3 linked regions of the Arabidopsis thaliana genome follow. The protein of the gene in region 2 interacts with the protein of the main gene of each other region in a pairwise test. Each region holds a gene or a part of one and is shown on either strand. Other genes may lie near its edges. The genes, in order: AT5G50915, AT2G17410 and STO.

Region 1 (5,675 bases), on a different chromosome or scaffold from region 2:
TTTTTTTCTCTTTGTTACTATTTTATTGCATTGTAGGCGATGATATGTGAGTAAAAGGTTATCTCTCGTATCATGCGGATAGAGACTTCTATGAATATCTATTTCGTAGACGTAACCGTACGTTAATTAGTCTATTGCCAGGTTGATTTATTTGTATTCTTCTTAGTAGAGAAAATCAATACTTCACTAAACAAAATGGAAATAATATGGTAGAAGGACATAAAACTGTTTTGATAATAGAGAAGAAAACATATAGAGATGCAACATATTTGAATAACAAATATAATGAGATTAAGCTAAATAAACGAAGTGATTAATAGAGATCTATAACAGTTATGAGATCAACCTAACTTACTTCATATATCTTACAATCGTCACATAATTCACTAGACTTATCGGCCAGAAAACGCCGTAAAATGGAAGTTGTTTCTTTGCATTTGTAAGTAATGTTTTGGGATATAGGATGGTAGAAGAAAACTTTGAGTCAATTTCTTAGAGTGAAGTAATGTACCTAATCTATCTCGTAATTCAAGATTCATTTTCATATCATCCTTTCGTAATTAGTCTCGTGCACTTATTCTTTTCTTTAAATGTGATCTTGAATATTCAAAACACAGTACAAATAATAGATCAGCCGCTAATTAAATGCGTTAGATAAAGAATAAAGGTTTTGTGCAAGTACCCTGATTTGAAAAGAAGCAAAAGAGAGATATTGGTGAAGAAAATATGATGCCAATAAATGTTTATTCCTCATCCGGATGAAACGTGCATAATCTCTATCATCTTCGGGTTATGATAATTAATTACAAGCTCATGCGGACCTTTGACATGTAAATTATGTCCAAAAGAACAATCATAATGTTTTCTTGGTTCCTAATTAGCATGTTTTCTTTCTGCTCTAAACTTGATCTCAAAAAGAAAATCATAATAGAAAGTCCATAGATCGTATTCGTACGTATACAATTGATAATTAATTAATCGTAGATTCGCTTAATGTTTTTGTTAAGTACGTGTCATAATAATAATTTATAAATAGAAGAAAGGAATTATAATAGTCTAAATAATTAAGGACATGGATTGTGATAAATTTTGATGGTCAAGTACTCGTTTTTTCGATTATTACTATAAGAGTACCCGATTATATCAAAACAAAATGGAGATTTATGATTTTTTGTCTTCTATGCATACCCAACGGTATCATGGGATTGGACTTCACACCTTATTCACAATTTTTTTTCTTTTGTCCTTTTCTGAAAAGGAAATTTCCTATGTCGATCCAAAGTGGGAAATGGACAAAAGTTTTTATTTTCTCTAACAAAAATGGACAAAAGTTTGTAGTATTATGGTATCCACATAGAGATTATTATTGAGAAGATCACGCGGCATTACATATTTAGTTCTAAATGTACAGTATTTTGGATAGGGTAATATATCTCTCTACTATCTAGTCTTTAATTATATCTGACTCGTTAAACTGTGCCTATATATTGATCTATATATTAGCTGTGGCAAAGGTTCTGCAATCTGATAAAGTAAAATTGATTGATAAATGATAAATATTGCTCTTTTGGTGTACATTAACTTTTTTGATATGTGTATTATAGGTCCGACCCTCTTATAAAGTAAAACAAGCCATAGCTTTAGGGCATTTCTAAATATAGTTCGTTGTTAGGGCGACAATATTGAATGCTTACGTGAGTGTAGTTGATGGTCAATACAAATACATCAATTGGTTTTAGAGAACATTTTCCTCGAGTTCGACTGCCCACGTTGGTCGTTCTTTCGTTCATTTAATGGGTTTAGTTGATTACTTCTTTTTATAGTACATTTATTGTTTTCACGTTATGCGCTATTATATTCTTATAAAAAAAGTCTTAATTAAATGATATATTGATCAGTATTTGTCTTGTTTAGTTTTACAACATGGTTGTATTACAAATTATGTAGTATTTATAATCTTATATTTCAAAACATAATTTATTCTCTAAATAACATAAAACTATGGAGAATACAAATTACAACAAAATTTAAAATTATAAGTTCTTACATAAAGTAATTTGAAACAAATTTTCTAAAATATCATGATACCCATAGAGTAATAAAACTAAACAAAATAAATAGACAAATATTCCATGAGTTTGCATTTGAAAAAAAAAAAAAAAGAGAACATACGTATCTAAGAATGATGAAAGATCATTAGTCACCTAATTTTTGAAATTCAACATTATTTACTTAAATTTTCATTTTTACTCTTCCATGGTTACTCAATGCAATTACTTAAATATACAATCTCGATATTATATATAAACATATCATCTAACATAAATTACCCGCCGAAATATGGTAGTAATTTCTTCTCAAATAAAAAGGTATCTTCAATATACAAGTGGTCCCTAAAATACTCTTTCTTCTGTTTCTCCTTGTTTCTTTGAATAGTGAATACAAAAGCAATTCCTTATATAAACCACTTCAAGTCCTTAATCTTCTCTCACAAAGAAAAAACACTATCTCTATCGACAAAGATAAGAGAACTCAGAAGCTTCTACTCTTAAAATGGCAACTTTCTCTTATTTCCAAAACTACCCTCATTCCCTTCTTGATCCTCTTCTCTTCCCTACACCTCACTCCTCCATTAATCTCACTAGTTTCATCGATCAAAACCATCTCTATCCACTACCAAACATTTCCACAGTTGAAGACATTTCCTTTCTTGAATATAATGTTGACAAAACTGAAAACTCTGGTTCAGAGAAACTGGCCAACACAACCAAAACAGCAACCACCGGTTCTTCTTCCTGCGACCAGCTCAGCCACGGACCATCAGCCATCACCAACACCGGAAAAACCCGTGGGAGGAAGGCCAGAAACAGTAATAACTCCAAGGTATGTTAAACCAACTTGTAATGTATCATCTATCATTTATGTGATGGGGTTGGGATAGTCAAAAACATAAATGTTGGTGTGGTTTGGTGAATTAGGAAGGAGTAGAGGGAAGAAAAAGCAAAAAACAGAAGAGAGGAAGCAAAGAAGAGCCTCCAACAGATTACATTCACGTTCGAGCTAGAAGAGGCCAAGCTACTGATAGCCACAGCCTTGCTGAGAGGGTATTTTAGTCATTTCTCTTAACATTTTAATTTTTCTTCATTAATCATGTTTTCATAAAATACATTTTGATTAATATTTGATTAAACTTATATATATATATATGTAAAGGTGAGAAGGGAAAAGATAAGTGAGCGGATGAGGACTCTGCAAAACCTTGTTCCGGGCTGTGATAAGGTCAGCTAGAGTAGAGACAATTTTATTTAGGAGAATTGATAATGGTTTAATTTTATAATGTTTCTAGAAAATGTTATTAATTGATTAAATGTGACTTGAAAACGAATAGGTAACAGGGAAGGCCCTCATGTTGGATGAGATTATAAATTATGTCCAGACCTTGCAGACTCAAGTTGAGGTGCATTTTCTTAATTATTTTGTTTTTTCTTGTAACATTTTATGTTAAAACTAATGTTTCTAATTCATAACTTTTTTTTCTGTTTCATTAGTTTCTCTCAATGAAGCTAACTTCTATAAGTCCGGTGGTCTATGACTTTGGCTCCGACCTTGATGGCCTCATACTTCAATCTGAGGTATTTCATTTACACAATGTCTCTTAATCCGGTTACCGATAAAACCAAGTCATGTATCCCGAAAAGCCGGTTATGGATCTTAAGTAGATATTTTCTTGATGGACAGATGGGTTCTCCAGAAGTAGGAACGTCTTTTACCAATGCAATGCCAACAACTACTCCTATCTTTCCTTCACTATTGGATAATTCTGTAGTTCCCACACATGCACAAGTTCAGGTTTTTCATTTTTTTCTATAAGTGATTATTTCAGATAATAATTATAATAAGGAGAATGAAGATAGATAAGAATCAATTATTGGAAGATTAATAGATAGTGATGTGTTGCTTAATTTAGGAAGAGGGAGAAGAAAGAGAGAACTTTGTAGACAGAAGTGGGTTCAACAACAACAACTTCTGTTCTTTCCCTTGATAAAATTACATGTCGACACAAACACAAAAGCCTGCTTTCGTGAGTTTCTTCTGGTCTTGTCTCTTCAACTACCTAATTATTATCATTACAATTATTTTTAACATTTCTCATATAGAAATTGTTAAAAATCTTGATGTGGGTTCGTAATTATTGCTATCGTTTATTGGATGTAGGTTGATTTAATCTCCTCCCATTTGCACGGAGGGAATAAAATCTACGTAAACCAGGTTTTGTAAAAGTGGATGTACTTATTTGTTCCGTTTATATAGTTTGAAGAAATAAAGTATTTTAGAGACTTAAAAAGCTCATTTTCTCTATTTGTCCCGAGAGTTTCAACATAATCATTACATAAAATCAATGGATAAATTCATACTAAAAGAGAATGGTATATGAGGCAGAGGCAAATTCGATGGAGGAAAGAAAGACATATAAACTAAGAAGACCTATCAGCTTAATCATTGTTTTTTTTAATATAATTGAATTTTGATGTATCCACTCATTAATTTTATAAGTTCTTGTATTTTCACCACTTCTGTCTTTCTGATTTCTTGCACCAAAGTTTCCTTTTTCCTCCAATCTTTTTAAATGTAAACTGTTATCCACACACTCATGTTATATTTCCTATATATATAAAAATGTTCGAGGGATAACTACTTATGCATGTATATAAATCTAAATGATTCGTTTCCTGTCAATTTAGTTGGCTACAAAATTATGTCAGAAGAAAAGATTAGATTTCCCTTCCTGAGAACACTTTAATGTACCTGTTGAATAGTTTGGTCATGCTTTTCTGCTCTCACTTGTCACACATTGATAACTCCCATTCCTCTGTATCTGTCCTTTCACAATACATATGTTATAAGTTTTATTTTAGTTTAGAGTATGTCTAATATATATATACCAAAATTCTTGAAAGAGATATTTGATACTGTTGTATTTGTAAATATGATTTGTTGGTTGTCTAACATTTTCATGAGGTGGTAATTAACGATTCCTTGAGTTATTCAATCCTAAATTGCAGGATTTATTTGAATACACCTAAATAAATTATATGCAAGAGCCTTATGTATATTATCGTTATTCAGTTACATACATATTAATAACCTCTTTTATTAACGAACCTAGAATAGAGATTTTTTTGTATGATTTTCATTTCTTGATGTATATGTCAGGATGTATATGATTTGTGAGATTACTCTTCACAATTCAACAATTTGAGATTTTAGTTAAATAAGTAAAATTTAATTGATATCATCTCTTCTAAGATTTGTTATTGGACTATGGTTCAAAATTTTCACTTTTTCCCTTTTTTATTATTATAAATATGATATGTTGCTAGATGAATTGGGTCATCATTTTCTTGCAATTGTTTCGTCATGAATACGATTTTTTTTTTTTTTTTTAATCGAAAATGCATATGAATTTGGTCCCAAGTTATTATACGGCAAATTGATCAATCATAAAATACAATAACAAAGGAAATGCTAAGTTTCTCGTGGCACATAATTGTATCTGCTAACGGTTTCATCCTGAATCAATGGACAACACATTTCGTAAATCTTATGCACATCATTTCACCTCATATGTTTATTTCAAAGTATACCTCTTATAACTTTAACTGTGCGTTTCGATT
Region 2 (8,194 bases):
TTCTGCTATGATGAAGTAAGCATGCCATTATTTGCTATAAATTATTAGGTTTACTTGTGTTCATGGCTAATAGTTGATTACTGGTGTTAGGTACTGGAATGATAAAGATGTGTTGGCAAAGCTGGGTGAAGCAATGGGTATAGCTGTTGGAGCAGACCAGACTGTTGCAGCTGAACCTGAAGAGGCCGAAGAAGGGGAAGAGGAAGAGTCTATTGTTCACCAGACCGCTAGTCTTGGTGATGTCGAGGTAAACTGATTCATACACTGTTAGTCTCTCGTGTTTCTGACGGTCTATATTTTATACTTAAGTCGGAATCATTGATCGAGGTTAGCTCATAAACTCTCTGTGCATTGATTTCCTGAACCAACCAGGGTTTGAAAGCTGCCTTGGCATCTGGTGGGAACAAAGATGAAGAAGACTCTGAAGGAAGGACTGCTTTGCATTTTGCATGTGGATACGGCGAGGTATGTCAACGTCTCAACAAGCCTTAACAAAAAAAACTGTCGAAATGTCACTATCACAGAATCATGGAAGGCAGTATATACTACCAATATTTACTAGCATCATGCACTTGATGGATAAGCAGCTTCGGTTTCACTTAGTAGATTATTACACAATTATCTGTAGCATTCTTTACAAAGGAAATTGACAGTTGCCATTATTACATCTGCAATTAGAAGTTGTTATAAAAGCTTAATCCGAAGTTTGAACCCAGCTGACCTAGGTTGAGTTTGTATGTAGGTGAGATGTGCTCAGGTTCTTCTGGATGCTGGAGCAAATGCAAATGCGATTGACAAAAACAAGAACACACCATTGCACTATGCTGCTGGTTATGGAAGGAAAGAGTGTGTAAGCCTCCTCCTAGAGAATGGTGCTGCAGTGTAAGTTTGCAACAACAAGAACACAAATTCGATTTCCAAACAACTTAGTAATGGTTATATAAGACTCTTTTAAGTGTCGTTTCATTTTCTGTTTGCAGAACTCAGCAAAACATGGACAATAAAAATCCCATTGATGTGGCCAGGCTAAACAATCAGCTAGATGTGGTGAAACTACTTGAGAAGGACGCTTTCCTCTGAGCTGCTTTGACTCTTGAAGGATATGTTTCTTCTCTGTCATGTAATAGTGTCACAGAGTCTGATTGCAACCTTGTCTTCTGTGGGGGTTTTCATCATTAAATCTGGAAAAAAAAGATGGAGAAAATGGATGTTTATTATGGTTTTGTAATGAATTATTTTCTTCTTGAATTGGTTTTTTCTTTTGGCTCTTAAAGTCTTTTTTGTCCTTCTTTGTGTGCCACAGGGCTTTAGTGTTGCAATCACAAAGAAAAAACCCTTAAACTGTTATATTCGAGAAGGAATAGACTGTTTAATCAAATCGGTGATAAGATAATTTGGAGATTTTTAACATGCCAACCGTAAATTAGAATGAAGAGTAGAAAGCCCATAGAGGATAACGATACTAATAGATGAGATTTGTACATAAGTAATGTGCAGAATGGAAGTCGATAGAATGAAATGCAAAAGTGAACTCAAGAACAGCAAAGATGATAAAACTTGGACCTCAAATCATCTTTGGCTCTTTGCTGTTTCTTTTGTTTTCTCTCTTGAAAGTATTATTGAAAAAACAGTAAAAAAAAACTCAAAATTGAGGTTACTTCAATTTAACAATAGTAAAATCATCAACACAATTTTTTTTTTTAAAGACATCTTAATTTTCTAAAATGGATATACAAAATCATATCTTGCACCTCGGAATTTGGTCCACCTTAGACGTTTTTAGTGGCAAAAATTCCCGGATTTATGTGGATTCCAATATTAGTCTAGGTTTCGGCATAGAATTCTCCTGGTTAATTAAAAATATGTATACAATGTTATAATTTAATCAAACCAACAAAATAAAAAGAGTTTGTAAAAATTTCAAAATAGTTCTTTCAAATAAATTCTGAACAGTCTTTTAAATTTATTTTTAGTGTTTAGTGTGTCATATGTCATATGTATACAAAAACTTAATTTAAAATTTGTTATTTTGAGTGAGAGTTTTAACTGTAAAACTAAATATACGATTTTACAAAAAGTAATATAAATAAATTAAGCATTATTTGGAAAATAATGTAAAGCTGATAATTATATTCCTAATTTTAAATCCATATTGTTTCCTTAAAGAATATTTCAATATAATTGCAAAAAGAAAAGAAAGGAAATATATCTTCCGACAATATTATCTGATGCGCGTGAAATAGACTATCAGGCCAAGATTAGGTCAAAAAGCCCGTGAGCCCAAAAACCTGAGAAAACCCGGTTCAAATTGCAAACCCTCGATTTCATTTCTCCAATTCGATAGACGCTGGGTAAAAAAATTCGGAGGACGACGAAAGAGAAAACGAGTGTTTCAGTCACTGCCCCACGGAGCTCTCGGAAATTTGTCTTCCCCTTGTCGTCGTCTCCCTATCTACTGCTTCTTCTTCGTTTTCGTCTTCTTTATCAAGGTGCGCTTTAGCTTCTCAACGCCGTTTGATTTTTAGAATTTCGATTTTTTTTTTTTTTTCTTCTAGTTCTTGAATCAATCCGGAATTTGGCGACTATGTTGCTTCGTTTGTAAATCGTATTCTCCTGTTTAGAAATCTTCAATTGACTGTGTTATAGGAACAATTTAAATCTCAATTTCAATGTCTCTTTTAGTCACCTTCGTGTAGTAATTTGCTTTTGAATTACTGTTAATGAATCTCAAAAAATGGATTTTATAATTTGGGAAAAGGGGCTTCTGGGTTTAATTAAAGAACACGAGATAAGGTCTGGTTTTTTCTTTTCATTTCTTTGTGTGTGTTTTTGGTTTCTTTGATTTTCTTCTGGGTTATGGTCCGTTTGAGTCTGGTGATAGTTAGTTGGCAACCAATTTTTATTGATCTATTACAATCGAGAACACAAAACTAAACCCTAAGAAAGAAGTACATAAAGTTGTTGAAAAGATCTCGTTAACTCTCCCAAAGTCCTAGGGCTTTCACACAACCAGTGATTAAATAACCTTTGAGCTGTTCTCCTTCCCACACTTTATATGTGTGTTTGTGGTTTGTCTAATTTGTGAGGAGCTTCTATGAAACCTCTGGTTATTTTAATTGTTTTCTGCAATTCCTGATTGATATGTTTATATATATTTCTTGTATTTGTGAATTTGTGTAGGAATGCTGTTTAATTGGAATCAACAATGGAGAATTTGACGGAAATAGAATCAACGATGGAGAGTTTAACGGAAATGGAGAGTGAGAGAGTTGAACAGGGTACCGATAAGGAAATTGGAAGTGGAGAGAAAAGGCAGGATGATGTAAAGGAAACGGAGAATGAGAATTCTGGAGAGAGAGTAGGAGAGGAAGCTCCTGTCAGGGAACATGAAGATTCTCCATGTCTCATTGTTATTGAAGAAGGTACTTCCCTAGCTTCCCTTGAGGAGGTGACCAATGCTGATGATCTGCCGAAGATTGATGATGAGAAGAATTCCCAATTTGAAACAAGCCCGCATCCAAGTCCTTCTCCTTCAGTAGCTTTAGACACTGAAGAAGGGTTAATCAACCCTACTGCAGAAGACACTGTAGAAGAGAACATAGTGTCTAGCGAAGTAAGTTCGGATATCTTGAAAGATGACGGAGATGCCGTCGAGGTTGACAGAGATACTGCAGAAGTCCAGGAAGAAACGGCCAACATACCTGAATCCAAACTCTCGGAGGACACAGGATCACCTCATCATCATGCTGATATTCTGATGGTGCAGGAAAAAGCTGCAGAAGAACATGACATGATAGCCTCTGGAGACCATGAAGAATTTCCAGTCAATCCTGATAACAAACACTCTGAAGAAAATCAGTCACCACATCATCATGCTAATAATGTGATGGAGCAGGACCAAGCTGCAGAAGAACGTGAGATCATATCCCCAGGAGAACATAAGGAAATTCCAGCCAATCCTGATACTAAAGTTGTTGAGGAGAACAATGACAGGATAGATGAGGGTGAGGCTAACAATTTGAATTTGGCTGGCGATGGAAGTGGAGCAGTCGATCATGATTACTTGACCAAAACGGAGCTGGACAAAGTGCTAGAGGTGCCTGGTTCTGAGACCATATCAAAACTGGAGGATAGGCCATCTGAGCATCTCTCAGAAACCTCAATGAACGTGGAAAAAGAACTAGAAATGCCTGCCGTTGAAATTTTGCCAGACAATGACAAAAACTCTGATGTGTTGGCAGTTGGAGTTTCTGGAGACAGTGACAATGTGGTATCTGTCTTGCCCGCTTCCCAAACTTCCTCTGATCGTGATGAAGGAATGATTACAGTTGATGCTGAACCTACGGAAGACATGAAACTTGATGTTCCAGATTCTAAATTGGTTACTGATACTACTGTTGACTCTACTAATAACAAGGATGCCCATGTTGAGGCTAATACTGAAAGGCAAGATAATTCTAGTGCACTTGTGCTAAATGATGCAAATAATGAAAGTGCACCAGTGAAACGTGTACCTGGTCCTTATGTTGCATCTTCCAATATAAAGTCTGAAGCGCGGGGTAGTGGAGATTTGAACAATGGAGTACATAAAATAGTTCGGACCCCACCTGTCTTTGATGGGACCATGCGCGCAAAGCGCTCTTTCCTCTTGGATGATGCGTCTGATGGTAATGAATCTGGAACGGAAGAGGATCAATCTGCTTTTATGAAAGAATTGGATAGTTTTTTTAGAGAGCGAAACATGGATTTCAAACCTCCAAAATTTTACGGGGAGGGACTGAACTGCCTCAAGTAAGCTTGATACCCATCATTATTTGGTCACTTTACTGTGTTACATTTTAAAATTTTCAGCAGGAGCTGATATCTAATCAATTTCTTTGGCACAAGGTTGTGGAGAGCTGTAACTAGATTGGGCGGATATGACAAGGTACGGGTCACTGTGAATACGCCTGTTGAATGTCACAGCATCTTTTTTGACAAGCAAATGTGACTTCGGCTTTTCATCTTTTGTTCCATCCTGGCTTACTTGCATGCGTACTGTTGTTCATGATCTAGCAGTGGTGCTTTTGGTGATTTTCTATGATTATTATATGCTTTTTATACTGGATAGGTTACTGGAAGCAAATTATGGCGGCAAGTGGGAGAGTCTTTCAGGCCCCCAAAGTAAGAAGAATGCTTTTCTTATTAGTGGTTTGTCTTAGAAATTTTGGGAAATCATGTGGATATTTTTAAGAATTACCCTCTAATTGGTCAATTGTTTGTTCAGGACATGTACAACAGTATCATGGACTTTCCGAGGTTTCTACGAAAAGGTGAGACTATATTCACCACCTTTTCCTCTCTCTGCTTTTGGTTCGTCTATGTGACTTTTGTATACACTGGCATGGGACTGGGACTCTATGTATCAACCCTTCTGAGAAATAATTGAAATGATTGAACAGTGAACAACTGTGAATCATCTTGAGATATGTTTTCCTTAAGATACAGTAACATCTTGTAACATTATAGTTTCTTCATTTTTCAGGCTCTTCTTGAATATGAGCGGCATAAAGTTAGTGAAGGTGAACTTCAGATACCCCTTCCGTTGGAACTAGAACCGATGAATATTGATAATCAGGTAAAATTGAGAAAACCATATCATGTGTCTGTAGTTTTTGTTTGATCTTCTTCTTCTGATTAATGTCAGTGTTTTAACTTAACCCACTGCCTTGTTTCTACACTAGGCGTCTGGATCAGGGAGAGCAAGGAGAGATGCAGCATCACGTGCTATGCAAGGTTGGCATTCACAGCGTCTTAATGGTAACGGTGAAGTTAGTGACCCTGCAATCAAGGTCCGGTAGAATCTTTTTATATGTTTCATTTTACATTCACACTAGATCTCTCGTTTTTTTTTTGTCAAACATTTAATCTATATCTCATAGTCTGAACGAACATACTGTTTTGTAATTAATAGGATAAGAACTTAGTTCTTCATCAAAAGCGCGAAAAACAGATTGGAACCACCCCTGGTATGAGTTCTGTTTGATGAAGAAGTGTTGTTCTCATTTTTATTTTGAAACTTTGACATGGGTTATCACTTACATCTCACAATGTCATCAGGTTTGCTCAAACGTAAGAGGGCTGCTGAACATGGTGCAAAAAATGCCATCCATGTATCTAAATCTATGTACGATTTTTGGCTTTGTGGTCTGGTTTTCAATGCGTGATAATTCACATTTGAATTCTGATTCCAGTTGTTGTTTTTCCTAGGTTGGATGTGACTGTTGTTGATGTTGGACCACCAGCTGACTGGGTGAAGATTAACGTACAGAGAACGGTAAAATCAATTGCCACTTTCTTAAAAACCTGAGCAATCACTTTCTGGTTTTACATATATTAATAAACTCTTCCACTATCTGCAGCAAGATTGCTTTGAGGTGTATGCATTAGTCCCAGGATTAGTCCGTGAAGAGGTAAGCTCTCAAATCTCGTTGTGTTTACATATGGATCCTAAGATTGAGTTTAGCACTCAGTTTTTGTCTTGGCAACAATAATACAGGTCCGAGTCCAATCAGATCCGGCTGGGCGGTTAGTAATAAGTGGCGAACCCGAGAACCCTATGAATCCTTGGGGAGCTACTCCTTTCAAAAAGGTAAATGCTGGTTACATGATTTTTCAGCTTACACGTAGAATGTTGAATGACATTTTCAAACCTCCATTGAAACTGCAGGTGGTAAGTTTACCAACGAGAATCGATCCGCATCACACATCGGCTGTGGTAACCCTAAACGGGCAGTTATTTGTTCGTGTGCCTCTGGAGCAATTGGAGTAGAAACATTTACAGTTTAACAAAGCCTTTGAAGATCTGAAAGAGAGAAGATTGTTAGAAGTAGTTGTTGAGAGTATTTTGTTTGTATATTATGAGAGATTAAGCACAACATGAGAAGAGCCTTTAGGAATCCTTAATTAGGCCATCTAGTTTTTATTGTCTCTCCTCTCTTTGATTAGATTCTTCTTCTAAGTGTCATCACTATTGATTTGTTGTAGCACCAAACTTCTTTAAACCTTTCTATTAAGAACACACAAATCTACAACCTTTTTATTTTTTTTAATTGTTTATGTGATTTGTTTTCTGTGGCAGTGAATTTTTTATATTATCAACTTATCATGTTAGCTCAAGATTGCATCTCAATTTGTACTTATCTTAGTGGTAATTAGAAAAAAAAACAAAATTAGGCTACAATAGTTTTGTTTGTTTGTTTGTTTAGGTGTTAGGGATAGGGTTTATTTTTTCCGAAGTTTATTAGTGTTTACTATTTAGAGTTTAATGTTTCCAAAATTTTATGGTTTAATTTATACTCTCAGATTAGGTTAAACATTTTTATTTTTAAAAATCTATAATATTTTTCTAATTTTACTTTAAATTGTAGACTAAATAATTGATTCAGCCTTATATTATATCTTAAACTTTGCAAGAATCACTTTGGCTTGTAATGAAATGAAATCCACTGTTTTCATATTCAAAGTGATTCTAGTCTTGTATTAACTATTAAATATTCCAATCTTTAACAACAAAGAAAACTATAATATTCAAAGCCATGTATATAATAATGGACATGGTCCAATAATTTGGCAATTTAAAAAAATATTAAAGAGAAAAGTAGATTCAAATAAAGTGGTCTATATTTCAAATTGCAAAATGTGTTGGATCTCAATGAGCCAGTCAAGATTCATTATAAAGTCTTTATTTAGCACAGCAGGAGGTTTCTTACTTGGATCTGCTCTCTCAAATCCGCCGTCTCTAGCCACCGCGTTTTCTTCTTCTTCCTCGTCCTCCTCCGCCGCCGCCGCCGTCGACATGGAAACTCACAAAACCAAGGTTTGCATCGTCGGAAGTGGACCAGCAGCACACACGGCGGCGATCTATGCATCGAGAGCGGAGCTTAAGCCTCTTCTCTTCGAAGGATGGATGGCTAACGACATCGCTCCCGGCGGTCAATTAACTACAACAACCGACGTCGAAAACTTCCCTGGGTTCCCTGAAGGTATTCTCGGTATTGATATCGTTGAGAAATTCAGAAAACAATCGGAGAGATTTGGAACTACGATCTTCACGGAAACTGTTAACAAAGTTGATTTCTCATCGAAACCGTTTAAGCTATTCACTGATTCGAGAACTGTTCTCGCTGATTCTGTAATCATTTCTACTGGAGCT
Region 3 (4,965 bases), on a different chromosome or scaffold from region 2:
TATTAAGGTCAGTGACGTCGAGCTTGAGTTCTTGACAGGAAACAAAACGATTGATGATGAGACAGCTATGTCTCTGTGGCATCCTAATTTGAAGCTCTTGCTTGTTACACTTGGCGAAAATGGATGTCGTTACTACACTAAGGTAATGTACAACAAACATTCATGTGGATTCATCATCATCATGATGATCTTGGTGTGTGATTTTGATTGATGTTCTCTTGACTCTTGTGTAGGATTTCCATGGATCTGTTGAAACTTTCCATGTTGACGCTGTGGATACTACTGGAGCTGGTGATTCTTTTGTTGGCGCGCTTCTAAACCAGATTGTTGATGATCAATCTGTACTCGAGGTTAACTCCCATTGATATTGTGTGTCTATTCAATCAACTGAATATTGTTGATGATATTTACTGATTTTTCTCGTTTCTTAGGAGGAAGAGAGATTGAGAAAAGTGCTGAGATTTGCAAACGCTTGTGGAGCAATCACGACGACTAAAAAGGGAGCCATTCCAGCTCTTCCTACAGATTGTGAAGCTCTCAGTTTTCTTAAGATACAAGTAGAATAGTAAAACTTCTCTTCGAGTCCAGAATTCTCCTTGTCTATTGTAATAATCTGTTCTGGATTCTTCCTGATGATTCTGATCATTTGTAATGTTTTTTTTTTTTGGTTCTCTCTCTGTCTTTTCTTTTTCTTCTTCATTGTATTGAATAAAACAGACTTGTGACTTCTGAGCTTTTCTTGCTAATAGAAAACAAAGAGTTTTTCGTAGTTGTTTGGAACCGTAAATTGCATTGAGGATTGTTTCTCAAGGCTTTGAAAACAGAGTAATAATCAGGAACAAACAAAAAAAAACCAAGAAAGAACAGAGAGAACACATTTAGTATCAAGTTTGTAGCATCAAAGCATTAAGCATAGACCATGTTCAAGAGGTATGAACAAAACTCAAACACAGACATTTGTTATAAGCTCTCAACATATCTTACACAACTTAAGACAAAACTAAAATGTATATGACATTAACTCCACACATGCAGATAGGTTTCTTGTTTGTTCTTTTACATTGAAGAATGTCTACACATAGATTACATATAGCTTTTTAGCCAAGATCAGGGACAATGAAGTGTTCCTCATCATCATCATCATATCTGGTCTCAAACCTCGGCTTCTTGTGTGAAACATTTGACTTCATAGGTTTGTATGAATGAACATGACCTAAATGCGAAACAGAAAGCTCAGGAACTTCAGCTGCAGGAAGAGCCTTGTCATTAATCTGATCACCGAAGAATCCCATGTCTGAAAACCAATCCAACTCCCCTGCCCCAAGATCAAGCTGTCCTTTCTGCTCAATTTAAACCAAGAAGTCAATAAAAGCTTCTTGCAAAGAAAGTGATCTAACATTGAATCTCAATTCTCATCACTACCTTGTCGGTGGATTCAATATCAGAGAAGTGAAAGAAATCGTCAACAGCCCAGGGAAGTGGAGTAGCAGAAGAAGGTTGTTGTTGCTGCTGGCTTGTGGATTTAGCAGGAATCTGATTAGCCTTCTGTTGGTTGTTGGAAGGCTCAGGTTGATTCTTCTCAATTTCTTTACTACATATAGTTGAGGTCAGAGCTACTTTGATCCCAGTGGCTAAGAACCTCTGGTGATTAGCAGATCGAGAATTAGCCACGTGGATGGATTCATCGCAGTCCCTGCAAAGCAGAGCTCTATCCTCTACACAGAAAATGAAAGCTGCCTTCTCCTACAAGTCATAAGAACATAATGAGCAAACCCTAGTCTTAAACAACAAGGCATACATACAACAGTTGCTACAAGATCTATAAAATCACAACTTTGCAACAGAGCAGATTCAAACTAACGAATCCATAAAATATTTGACAAGATCTAATGAGATCTGTAGAGAAACTTACTTGGCAGATATCGCAACGAGGGAATTTGGTGGAGAGGGAATTAAGATGAAGACGTTGGTGCTTGCTAGCGAGTTTGTTAGCGGCGTGAATCTCGATGTCGCATTGAGGACAGAGAGCAGCTTCGTCGGCGCAACAAATCACCGTCGCCGGAGCTTTCTCACACACATCACACTGTATCTTCATCACCGGATACAAGAAACCAAAATATCTAGGTTTCTCAAGAAGGAAACAGAATGCTTAAAATGAAGGGTTTATTGCTAGTCTGGCTTCTCTTAGAATAGCTTAGCAGAAGCGTAGGTTCAGAGAAAGAGCTTAGAGAAGATGAAAGAACAAAGAGGGAGAGAGTGTTTTGTGGGGAACAAGTAGGTGGGATGAGCAATTGGTTGTGAGTGAAAGAGAGAAGATAAGGATTTGATGAATCTTGCTTGTTGCTTTGTTTTCATTATTCTGCGTATCAAAAGGAAACACTCTGCTTCTTACAGCAAGGTCTTGCGGGTCCCACTCTTTTTCTGTGGCTCTCCTTCTTCCTCTCGTCATCTCTCCTACCTTTAGATATTTTTATTATATTCACACTTTGCTATTTTATATTCTTGTTATTTTCTCACGTAGTAGAGATTTGTGTTTTGTTTACTAATCTAGTCAAAACACATTAATTTTGACTAATAAACTAACTTCAATAATTCCACCACCACTAGACTTTTACGCTCCTTTTATATGATATGCTCGAATTTCAAGTCTCGTGAACTTTTACGATTTCAAGAAAGATTTGTATACAAAAATGGGCTTCATCTAGAAAGAAAGAGTTGGGTAATGGTATTACTCAAATCAGAGAATATTACACGACTACACGTAATCTTGAAAATGACATGTGAATTGATTCCTTGGAATGACGACATGTTATGTTAATATGTACCATTCGATCAGATTTTTCTTCTTCTTTCACTTTTTCGTTTTCTCAATCATAAAAACGATTAATGCAATCATTAAAAATATACTGGCATGTTAACTAACAAAGAAATGAATGCTTAGCCCGTTCGAGAAAAAGAATGATCCTAAAAGACACCAATACAAAATTAGGCATGGTTGGTCACAAGAATTGTTGTTGGATATCACATATCCATCCATATTAGTAAAAACCAATCTATACATCTGTGGTTTTTTTAAAGAATTGACAAGTTTTTGTTTCTGTTTTTTGGTAATGAAATCGAACAAATTCAAAGAATTGTGAAGTTAATAACTCCCAAAACACTTACTGCTTCTGTACATGTTCATCCTTCTGGATGTCCCCATGAGAAGTATTGTTCATGTTGGCCGTATCTTGATTAAGCAGATTAGAGAATCCATTTCCAATCGATTTCCACCAGCTCGACCGCTCTGAGGTAGTTTGATCCCACTGGTCATTACTGGTGCTTGAGGACAGTTCGATAGATGTGGCTGACTCGGTCTGCAGCTCAGAGAATCTCACAGCTCCTAGTAGCTTTTCTGGAAGCTCTGCTTCGGTCTGACTCTCAATGAGGAACGCAAGATCAACTGTCAATGTAGTAACGTAGCCAAATGCGAGATGAACAATGGCACTAGCGACCATTGAAGAACCAATATCGACATCAATCTCCACAAAGTTTTCCCCTGAAACATATTTGCAAGAGAGTGCACGTCCAATCACACAGATCGCTTGCTCTCCAACAGCTTTTCTAACAATCCAAGGGCCTTTGACAATGTTTGCAATCAGTTTAAGCCTCGATTTCTTGAACCCATCATCTCCTTTCAAAAACCGATCCATCAGGGAGCCTTCAAGGATAGGCTCTGTGGTAACAAAGTAAGCCACAGCACTGTAATTGTCTTTGTGAGGAAGCTGGAGATTGAATGCCCAGACAAAAGGCTTAGTTCCATCTTTTTGAAACTCCTCATCGATAACTTTCCTGATTCGGCTGCTTGGATAACTCAGGATCTCAGAAAGCTTTTTAGGACCTTTAATCCAATCAAAACCCAGAGGCTTTAGAAGGAAATCACCAGCAGGTATCTTAACTTTGTCAGAGAAATACTTTGGTCCTCTAACCATAAATGTGTCAGGAGATGGCGTCGTCCAACCATTTTTGCAGTTGTCGTCTGGCTTAAGACATGGAACAGCTCCCTCTAATTTCACTCTCTTAATCCATTCTGGCTCAGTTTCCTCACCAACAGAGCCAGCCATATCTTGCGAAAACCTGCAACACAGAGCTTAAATCCTTGAGTAAAACTGAGTGTGGAAAACAATCTCATGGATTCTACTTAGTGAATATAGCAAACAAGAATATGCCATCAAGAAGACCAAAACATGTGATCAGAAAACAGAACCATGTATGTCTGAGGCTCTATCTATTCCTCATCTAATTTCCCATAGGATTCATACTATGCCACAAGAACTTTTTAAAAGAAAAGAGTGAAACAAAAATTGCTCAAAGAAACAAAAACTAGGAGCTGGTAACTCCGGTTCAAGTCATAGCTACACCGGAAACTAGAATAAAGTTAGTAAATTGACTCAAATTCTGAGTAATGACATCAAAATTCAGCATACACGATTCTGAGATTTTCTACAAACCTAAGCCCTAGATTATCTGAAATAACATGCATACCATTCAATAGACAAAGCACAGAGACAGAGCCCAGATAATTGAATTTTACATTCATCTACAACACATAAGAAGAAACGGAAAAAAAAACGTTTTTTTTTATCAACAGAGCAATCAAAACCCAGAAACGATTAACAAGTTTCAGAGGTTCAAGAGGAATCAGCTACAATAATAAAAAGGAAAAAATCAAAGTTGAGAGATACAAATAACAAAAGACTAATTCAATCGCAGGACAAGGAGCAAACAATAAACCTTTTGCAGCCGAAGAAGAGAAGAATTGTCCAAAAACCCTAATTCAAAAACGAAGACTTGTCAAGGGAAAAGAAACAAAGAAGATAATCCGATTTTGCTAATCTTCTTTTGTTGTTTGGATTTAGCGTTGAAACGGATGCTGCGAACAGATCCTAAATTCTTCCGTGGCGTAACGCTTTAGTTCATATCTAA

Evidence for each region.
Region 1: the proteins of AT2G17410 (region 2) and AT5G50915 interact in a two-hybrid assay, tested with the Arabidopsis thaliana proteins (one large-scale study listed by BioGRID).
Region 3: the proteins of AT2G17410 (region 2) and STO interact in a two-hybrid assay, tested with the Arabidopsis thaliana proteins (one large-scale study listed by BioGRID).

Annotation. Positions count from the first base shown.
Region 1 is NC_003076.8:20,709,131-20,714,805, reverse strand, and holds AT5G50915 (basic helix-loop-helix (bHLH) DNA-binding superfamily protein), read left to right. Parts: upstream 1-2,341; 5' UTR 2,342-2,553; coding exon 2,554-2,883; intron 2,884-2,978; coding exon 2,979-3,104; intron 3,105-3,213; coding exon 3,214-3,279; intron 3,280-3,388; coding exon 3,389-3,457; intron 3,458-3,548; coding exon 3,549-3,632; intron 3,633-3,738; coding exon 3,739-3,849; coding exon of another isoform or gene 3,850-3,870; exon of another isoform or gene 3,871-3,967; coding exon 3,968-4,042; 3' UTR 4,043-4,081; exon of another isoform or gene 4,082-4,215; 3' UTR 4,216-4,703; downstream 4,704-5,675. Other genes in the region: AT5G50910 (uncharacterized protein), read left to right, coding at 5,524-5,675.
Region 2 is NC_003071.7:7,556,664-7,564,857, forward strand, and holds AT2G17410 (ARID/BRIGHT DNA-binding domain-containing protein), read left to right. Parts: upstream 1-2,252; 5' UTR 2,253-2,489; intron 2,490-2,551; exon of another isoform or gene 2,552-2,793; intron 2,794-3,180; 5' UTR 3,181-3,205; coding exon 3,206-4,791; intron 4,792-4,887; coding exon 4,888-4,927; intron 4,928-5,110; coding exon 5,111-5,163; intron 5,164-5,266; coding exon 5,267-5,312; intron 5,313-5,524; coding exon 5,525-5,617; intron 5,618-5,723; coding exon 5,724-5,831; intron 5,832-5,953; coding exon 5,954-6,008; intron 6,009-6,099; coding exon 6,100-6,166; intron 6,167-6,233; coding exon of another isoform or gene 6,234-6,249; coding exon 6,250-6,316; intron 6,317-6,401; coding exon 6,402-6,452; intron 6,453-6,538; coding exon 6,539-6,631; intron 6,632-6,709; coding exon 6,710-6,811; 3' UTR 6,812-7,089; downstream 7,090-8,194. Other genes in the region: AKR2B (ankyrin repeat-containing 2B), read left to right, coding at 1-15, 91-247, 373-465, 743-882, 981-1,080; NTRA (NADPH-dependent thioredoxin reductase A), read left to right, coding at 7,679-8,194.
Region 3 is NC_003070.9:1,827,565-1,832,529, forward strand, and holds STO (B-box zinc finger family protein), read right to left. Parts: upstream 2,420-4,965; 5' UTR 2,302-2,419; coding exon of another isoform or gene 2,202-2,301; 5' UTR 2,125-2,201; coding exon of another isoform or gene 2,096-2,124; coding exon 1,913-2,095; intron 1,744-1,912; coding exon 1,423-1,743; coding exon of another isoform or gene 1,393-1,422; exon of another isoform or gene 1,341-1,392; coding exon 1,098-1,340; 3' UTR 776-1,097; downstream 1-775. Other genes in the region: AT1G06030 (pfkB-like carbohydrate kinase family protein), read left to right, coding at 1-142, 234-350, 432-566; AT1G06045 (uncharacterized protein), read left to right, coding at 1,958-2,124, 2,202-2,301; AT1G06050 (ENHANCED DISEASE RESISTANCE-like protein (DUF1336)), read right to left, coding at 3,162-4,103. UniProt on the Arabidopsis thaliana protein: Acts as a negative regulator of seedling photomorphogenesis and light-regulated inhibition of hypocotyl elongation. BBX24/STO and BBX25/STH function as transcriptional corepressors of HY5 activity, leading to the down-regulation of BBX22 expression.